Oryctolagus cuniculus: one gene and its partner. The protein of the gene in region 2 interacts with the protein of the main gene of each other region in a biochemical or structural test. Links are inferred from orthologs where the notes say so. Each region holds a gene or a part of one and is shown on either strand. Other genes may lie near its edges.

Region 1 (3,805 bases), on a different chromosome or scaffold from region 2:
TTCCCTGGAGAAGTGAGGAGAGGAGGGGAGGAGGAAGACCACAGCCTCCCCGTTAGTGCCTGCCCTTGTCCACGCCCGCCCCTAGCGCCCGGGACCTCTGACAGCTGCGCCTGGGCTGGGAGTGGGCATTGAGCTGGTGTCCTTAAAGCCATCCAGTCTTGCAGGAACGGAAGGAAGAAGAGCCCTCACTCCCGAATCACTAGTTCACTGCCCTGCCCCCGAGATACCCGTGACAGGCCTGGGTGCTCCGAGGCCGCAAAGGGAACGCGGCTGTGACCTCCGGCCCAGTGCTGGCCGGGAGGTTCTACTACGGCTGGGCCTCTCCTTGCGTTATGCTCTTCTTTGGCACCTGTTCAGTCCAGCGCTCTCAGCGCCCAGAATCTGCCTTGGACAGGACTGGACGGCCGCGCGGGGAAGGGGCGATAGCCGGAATCAGCCACCCTGAGGAGCCCGGCCACCCACCGCTCGGCGTGCTCCCTACGCCGTCGGCTGGGGAGGCTGCTATCTGCAGCACACGGGCGAGCTGCCTGCGGCCAGGGGAAACAAGCTGCTTGGCCATGGCGACAGGCCTCCTGGCACTTAAGCACCGCTAACACGGCCACCAGCAGCAGCCGACCGGCAGCGATGAGCGATGAGCGCCGCGCTCCGCCATCTCCACAGGCCTTTCACACACATGCACTATCTCATCTGATCCTCACGATAACCTGCAGAACGGCCAGGACAGGTGCCATCAGCCCTGGCTCAGCCTGCCTGGGAGAGGTGTAACAATCCGTGCAGGGCCACACAGCTGGGGCCCTCGCCTGCCTTCCACACGCTGGACGTGAGGGCCTACACGCATCCCTGTTTGGGCCAGGCCTGCAAGTTTCGCTTTGGGGCTCTCATTGGAGTGGGAGGGGATTCACCCATTCTCCCAGGTTCCCGACCCCAGCGCACGAGCAGTGCCCGACGACTGAGGCTGGGCGGGGGACTCTGAGGGCTGAGGGTGCGGGGGCAGCCAGAGTCAGAAATGCCACCTTGCCCTGTTCCCCAAGAGCACGCAGTCACCCTGGAAGTGTGTGGCTGCCTCCATCCCATTCCCGGATCACTCTGAGAATGGCAAGAATGTCAGGTGACGTCAGCGGTGACATTCGCAGTCAGCCACCAAAACAGACAGGAGCACAGGACAGCCGGGACTGCGGGCTGCAGGGTGGGGGACAGGGCAGCTGCCCTTCTTCTGTGGCTTGCACGTGTGTGCTTACAGTTATTTCCGTCAGCATCAGAGCGAGAACGCACAGATGTGGGTGTGTACGGCCCGTGCTTACAGTGGTCCACGTAGCACCAGGCACTATCACCCCCCCAAGACCAGCACCCCACTCGCTGGAAGCCCTTAGATCCTCTCCTCCAACTGGGAATGCTGCTTCATTCTGTGTCCCAGAATTCCCGAGCCTACATCTCTACTGCTCATCCACACCCATCACTGCCACAGGCCACAGAGTCCAGGGGCCTGCACTTCGGACCCTGGCTTCTTCCTCTGCACTGCTCTAAGTCCTTCCGGGTCCCAGGGGCGGAGGGGCAACCCTGCCCACCGCCAGGCAGAAGGGCGGCGGCACTCACCGACGGGACTGGGACAGGCTCCGTTCGCGCTGGTGAGGTCTCCCCCCAGCATGGCCCCTGGAGGGAAAGCAGAAACGTGATGAGCTGGCAGCACTCCCCGTCCCACACTGAGTCTTGGGGACCCCGGGAGGAGGGGCCGCACAATCGGGGGACTGCTGCATGGGGGAAGGGAAACACTCACTGTTGAAAAGGAACTCCCCAAGTCCCCAGCACGGCTCACTCCCAGCCCTCACCTGCACTGGCTGGCCGCTGGGGCAGGCCGGGAGACACACTGTTCCTCTGTAGTGCTGGCTGCTGGGGGGACAGGAGCCGCGGGTCCGTGAGGGACGACGTCACCAGGGAAGGGGTGACCAGGGAGCCGCTGGGGTTGCTGAACTGCAGGGAGCTCTGGTTGGACACGGGCACCGTGACAGGCATGGCAAAGTTGGGGGCCGGGACAGCTGACTAGACAGAAAGACGGAGGGGTAAGTCAGGCCGGGGTGAGCCCAGACCCGGGGCCCACAATGCCTGAGAGGGAAGGCGAGGGCTCTTCTGGCTCCCAGGCGGTGCATCCTACGGCCAGCAGCTGGGGCTCTCTGCCCTGGGCCCTCCTGGAGTCCTGCCTGCCACTCCCACCAAGGAAGCGCACTGGTGGGAGCGCTTTGGGATCCCGCTGTGGCCCGGATGACGAGACCTAGGCGCTGCCCGCTGCACACAGGACCAGGGCCGCCCCCTGGTGGAGGTGGATTAGTCCTCAGCCAGCCAGGACACACGGGGAGCAGGTTAGAACCCAGGAGACCCAAACTCACACGCAGCAGTGAAAGGCCTGCGCCCCCTCACTGCCTTCCCCGAAACGATGCTGAGTGTCGGAAGCTGGGTCTCCACTCCCCCAACCCCCCACCCAAATGACCTGGGGAAAAAGCACTCTCTACGCTCCTGTCCTCCGTACCCTGCTCGCTGGGGGAGGGGCACGCCGCAGGCCTCTTCAGCCTACGTGCCTCCCAAGAGGAGGCTCAGCGAGGGTCACAGGTTCGTCACGGCCAAGGCCAGGGGTTCCTCAGTGGTCACTACAGCCCCAGCACGGCTCAGAGCGGAGCAGCCATCCGAGGCAGCCGAGGGCCGGGCGCGAAGCCACACCATGCACCACAGGGAGGCTCTCCTCCATGCGACTACTCACGGCCAGTCTATAACTCTGCATCATTTTATCAAACTCCTCGTCTATCTTTTTATATTTCTCCTCCGTCTGGGGGGTCAGGGCAAACACCTCGTCCACCTCAGGGCTCTCACATTCCCTGTGCTTCTTGTGCAGCGCCTGGGGGAGGGGCCGGAGGGGGCCAACAGAGAGACAGTGAGTGGGGCTCACCCCGTAGCGCCGGAAGAGCCCGTCCAGCTCCTCGCTGGCGCGCCGGTACTTGTCCTCCAGCAGGGGGCTCTGCTCCAGCGAGTCCTCCCCGTCGGGCTCGGGGCTGTCGCAGCCGTTGAAGCCCTTCTTCCTCAGGGTCTGTAACCGCACAGCAGGCCGAGGGTCCTCCCAGCCCCGCTAAGAACCCCCCCTCCGCCCCCTTCCTCAGGGTTCCCGGGGCCCAGCATCTCCCCACCCCGCCCCGCCCCACTGGGCCACTGCGTGTTCTCCAGGGGCACATGATCAGGGTGGCTTGGCCCATCCCAATCCCCAGGCTTTGCTCAGTAGAACGGGGAGTGTAAGAGAGAGAGAAGGGGACATAGAAGAGCAAAAGGGGGAACTAGTACTTATTGAGCTCCTACTGTGTACCACCATACAAACTGTCAATGCCAGAGGTCAGAGCTTCTCCTGTGCACCCCCAGCGCTGATCTGAACAAAGTGGGGGCACGTGGAAGGGCCTGCAGTTGGCCCCCAAACTGCCCCCACCAGGCTCAAAATATCTTTACAGACACCTGCTTCATCTTCAAAAGCAATGTAAATTGTACATTCTAGTCTAGGGGGAATCTGCTTTCTCAAACATAAAAACGAGGGCACCTCCTCCAAATCTCTGGGGCAGCCTGTGCCTTCCTGGGCGTCCTCGTGGTCGGCAGAGGTTCTGCACCCCAAGGTGTGTGCACCCTGGTGTGAGCAGCAGGAGCTGGCTCATCTCATTCTATTCACATCGTGTCCTTTAAAGCAGGCATGGGCCCCAGTCTGCGGAGGGAACACCACGGCTCAGGGAGGCCAAGCCACCTGCCCAAGGCCACGTGGCCGGCAAAGGCCAGAGCTGAA
Region 2 (3,905 bases):
ATAAAATTAAAAATATACACTTTTCAAAGCCAAGAAAGACCAAAAAAAAAAAAAAAAAAGGACAGGAACTGTTATATAGAAGGAGAAATAATGAAATGCAACGGGGATCTTGGAAAGGACCCTGGAATGAAAACAGAAGTTTAGTGGCAAAACTGGTGCAATTCGAATCACCTTGGAAGCGTAGTTAAAACAGTGCACCAGCGTTAGTTTCTTGTTCTTGAGAAGCACACTATGATCACATAGGATGTTGACATCAGTTCAGTCAAGGTGTGGAACATAAATTGCTACAACTTTTCTTCCAATCTAAAGTTAGTCTAAAATGTAGAAAGCTTAAAAAGAACACTTGAGAATTCACACTACCTGTAAAAGCAATGTGCGGATGGAGACAATGTAGCATTAGCCACCCTGACCTCCAGAAACCTCTACAGAATTGAAAAACTCAACGACAGGGGTTGGTGCTATGGCGCAGTAGGTTAGGTCCCCACCTGTGGCATCAAGGTCCCAAATGGCTGCTGGTTCAAGTCCTTGCTGCTCCACTCCAGATCCAGCTCCCTGCTGATGGCCTGGGAAGGCAGTGGAGGAAGGCCCAGGTGGTTGGACCTGGAGAAAGCTCCTGGCTCCTGACTTACATGAGCTCAGCTCCTGCCATGGCAGCTATCTGGGAGTGAACCAGCAGATGGAAGACCTCTCTCTTTCCCCCCCTCTGTCTGTAACTCTACTTCTCAAGTAAACAAATCTTAAAACAACAACAAAACAAGCAGCTATTGAATAAAGACGAGAAAGTACAGATGAAGTACCACTTATTGGAAGTATTTGAAACGAGCCATGTTTCAGATTTCTGCTTTTTTTGGATTCTGGAATACTTGCACATACCTGAAATCGTTTCAGAGACACATTAGGCACGTAAACTGAAGGCAATTTTATACAATACTTTTAACAGTTGTGTGCATAAAACAGAGTTTCATGGCACGGCATTTTCCACTGTGGTGTTGTCAGAGCTCAAAAACTCAGCTTTTGGAGTACTTCAGACGATGGGTTTTCAGATCCGGGAAGCTTTACCTAGGACCATTTCTCAGACTCCTAACCCAGCAGCTCCATCTCCTTGGAACAACCATCAGTGTCAACTCACAAGTCCCCAAACTCTCGTCAGAGTACGGTTTCCTTGGCCTAAGGGCACATGCTAAGGACCAGCACCCTGACCCAGACTGAGAAACACCGGATTCCCGCCTGCTCCGGCCTGGGGCCTGGCCTACACCGCCTTGTCTGGGCCTGGGTCCCCTTCTGCAAGCTAACCAGCCCATTGCTTTTGTACAGCCCAGGAGCAAAGGATTTTTTTTTTTTTTTAACATTCTTAAATGGTTGAACAACACGGGTGACATGTGCAAAGTATATAAAACTCAAATTTCAACGTCTGTAAATAAAATTCTCTTGGCACACAGCCACCCTCTTACATGCTGTCTCCATCTGTAGCCACAACACCACCACCGGAACTGAAGAGTGAACCGTCTCCAATATCTAAAGTACTATCAAAAAAATTAATATATTTATTGTACAAAGTTCCTTCAAAAGTTGGCATTAAAAGTTTATTTTGATGCAAAATATTTTTGAAATCCATGCAAAGGGTCTCCAAAAAATTCATGAAAACACCTACTACTTAATAAAAAAAAACTATGCATGGATTTCAAAATTTTCGTACCCAAACCTACCTTTTAGTTCCATTTTCCACGAACTTTTATTAGTATTCCACAATTTATGACACGTTATAAGAAAAATTATATTCGCAAGCATGCAAATTCCTAAAGATCGTTCTAAGAATATTTTATTTGCAACCACAGCAACTAATTACAGAGGGAACCCGAGCCGCGTGGAACTGACCTGCCCACACCCGCACCTGTCACAACCCAGATCCGGACGAGATCGGCGGCCCCCAAAGCACCTGTGCAGACACCCGGGGGTGTCAGGTGCGCCCTGTCGAGCCCAGGGCCCGCCTTCTCCCGGGAAGCAGTGCTGCACGCTGGTCAAGATTCCCGGTCCCGAGCCGGCCAGAGTCCCCGCGTGCCTCTGTCCCACTCACTTTCACCATCCCCCGGCCTCCGTCCCCACCCCCGTGAACGGCGCTCCCCGTACCAGCACTCACCGCGCACGGCTGCGGTGAAGGTGAGCGAGAGGACGCCAGCGGCGGAATCAACTGTGGCTCCCGCCGCGGTCACTCTCGGGGCCGGAGCCGCCCCTCAGCACGGCCGGGACGAGGCCCGCGGGGCAGCCAGGAGGCCCGGCCTCAGTTTCCCGGACTGCAGCCCCGGGGTCTGCCTGAGGCGCCCACAGCCTTCTCGCGGGATTCGGTCTCGCGCACGACCAGCGCTCCGGCCCGCGCCCTGGCACAGTCCGGTCGCACCCCTCCAAACCCCGGAGACGCCCCCCAACCCCACAGCACCGGAACTCACCAGGCGTCTCCACGGTAACGGCCATCCACTCGGACCCCCGCGCCGGCCGGCGGCGCGCCTGACAACAAGGCGCTTTCCCATTGGCTGCGGTGCCTGTCCGTCTGACCAATCAGCGCGCTCCTACGTACGGCTCGCCCGCGCGGCGGACTAGTTGGGCTTTGTGGGTGGTGCCCCTCCAAGCAGCCCCGCACGCGTCTGGGAAACCCGGGCGGTCGCAGGTTGGTTCCGGACCCTTGCGGGCAGCCGTGGGCTCGCGGTCCGGCTCCGGGCTCTACCGACCGGCATCACCTGGCGGTTCCGGTGCTAAGATAGGTGCTCTCACCGCGCGATGGCAACTTGGAGCACTTAGAGGAGCTGAAGGGCCTCTGACAGGGGCCTGGAGCCAGAGCTTGAGGCCCTCTAGGGATGCTTAAATAAGAATGAATGCAACAGCCTTCTTTTTTTAATTTAATTTCGGAACAGTTTTTAATACACAAAACAAAAACTGTGAGGTAGTAATGCAGAGAGCTCCCAGACACCCCTCACCCCATTTCCCCTATTATTAACATCATATTAGTGTCTGCATCACGATGAACCAAATCCAGCTTCCCTTATTTTTTTTAATCCATACTCATTATCCCTTCCGCCCGTCCCAGCCTCTAATAATCAACACCTGGTGTTTACATAATAAACATGTATATGTATATACACATAATTTTAGATCCCACATATAAGGGAGAACACACACATGTTACCAGTGAATGGCAGGGTTCTTGTCTTCGCGCAAGAAAGAATTCAGGCGTGAGACAGAGTAGTGGAAAGTAAAGTAACAGTTTATTAGAGAAAGGACATCCGTAAGAACGGACAGGCACCTCTCCAGACAGGACCTGAGAGGGAGTGCCCAGTCGCTCGGACTGGGGGTGGGGGGAGCGAGGTTACATGGTTGAGTAGAGAGAGCACTCCTAGGCAGGCAGGTGGGAGGCTCAGCAGAAAGGCAGAGGGCTGAGTGCGCAGTCCGGTTGAGGCCAGGGGTTTTAAGGAGATGGGTCTTGCTTCCCCACCTCTGCTCCTCTTGGAACAAAGGGCTTTTTGGATGTAAATAGAAAAACTTCTGAGTTTTCTCCTTGAAGTTATCAGACAGGGGGAAGTCTGGCTGGCTGCTCCCGGGGCACCCTTAGAGGAAGGGCAGGGAGGGCGTTTGAAGTGCAGATACTGGGCTGCACCTGGAAGGTAATCAGGCAGAAAGGGCTGGGACCCCCTACCTGGAAGGTTATCCGGTAGGAGGGGGCAGGGCAGGATGCAAACACTGGGCTGCCACCTGAAACTATCAGGATGACTTTGAGATGCAGATGCATATGCTGGACAAAGACGTCTTCTCTTTAGGCCTTTATGTCACACACACATAAGCTCATATCTGACTTCCTACCTAATATATATATATATATATATTTCTGTGTCTGGCTTATTTCACTCAACATGCTG

Evidence for each region.
Region 1: the proteins of CABIN1 (region 2) and MEF2D form a complex in vitro, tested with the Homo sapiens proteins (2 studies listed by BioGRID). The link is inferred for Oryctolagus cuniculus from reciprocal best matches to the Homo sapiens genes CABIN1 and MEF2D.

Annotation. Positions count from the first base shown.
Region 1 is NC_091438.1:42,273,270-42,277,074, reverse strand, and holds part of MEF2D (myocyte-specific enhancer factor 2D), read right to left. Parts: intron 3,074-3,805; coding exon 2,936-3,073; intron 2,885-2,935; coding exon of another isoform or gene 2,750-2,884; intron 2,038-2,749; coding exon 1,827-2,037; intron 1,651-1,826; coding exon 1,594-1,650; intron 5-1,593; coding exon 1-4. UniProt on the Homo sapiens protein: Transcriptional activator which binds specifically to the MEF2 element, 5'-YTA[AT](4)TAR-3', found in numerous muscle-specific, growth factor- and stress-induced genes.
Region 2 is NC_091452.1:30,882,691-30,886,595, reverse strand, and holds the start of CABIN1 (calcineurin-binding protein cabin-1), read right to left. Parts: upstream 2,554-3,905; 5' UTR 2,445-2,553; exon of another isoform or gene 2,128-2,444; intron 1-2,127. UniProt on the Homo sapiens protein: May be required for replication-independent chromatin assembly. May serve as a negative regulator of T-cell receptor (TCR) signaling via inhibition of calcineurin. Inhibition of activated calcineurin is dependent on both PKC and calcium signals.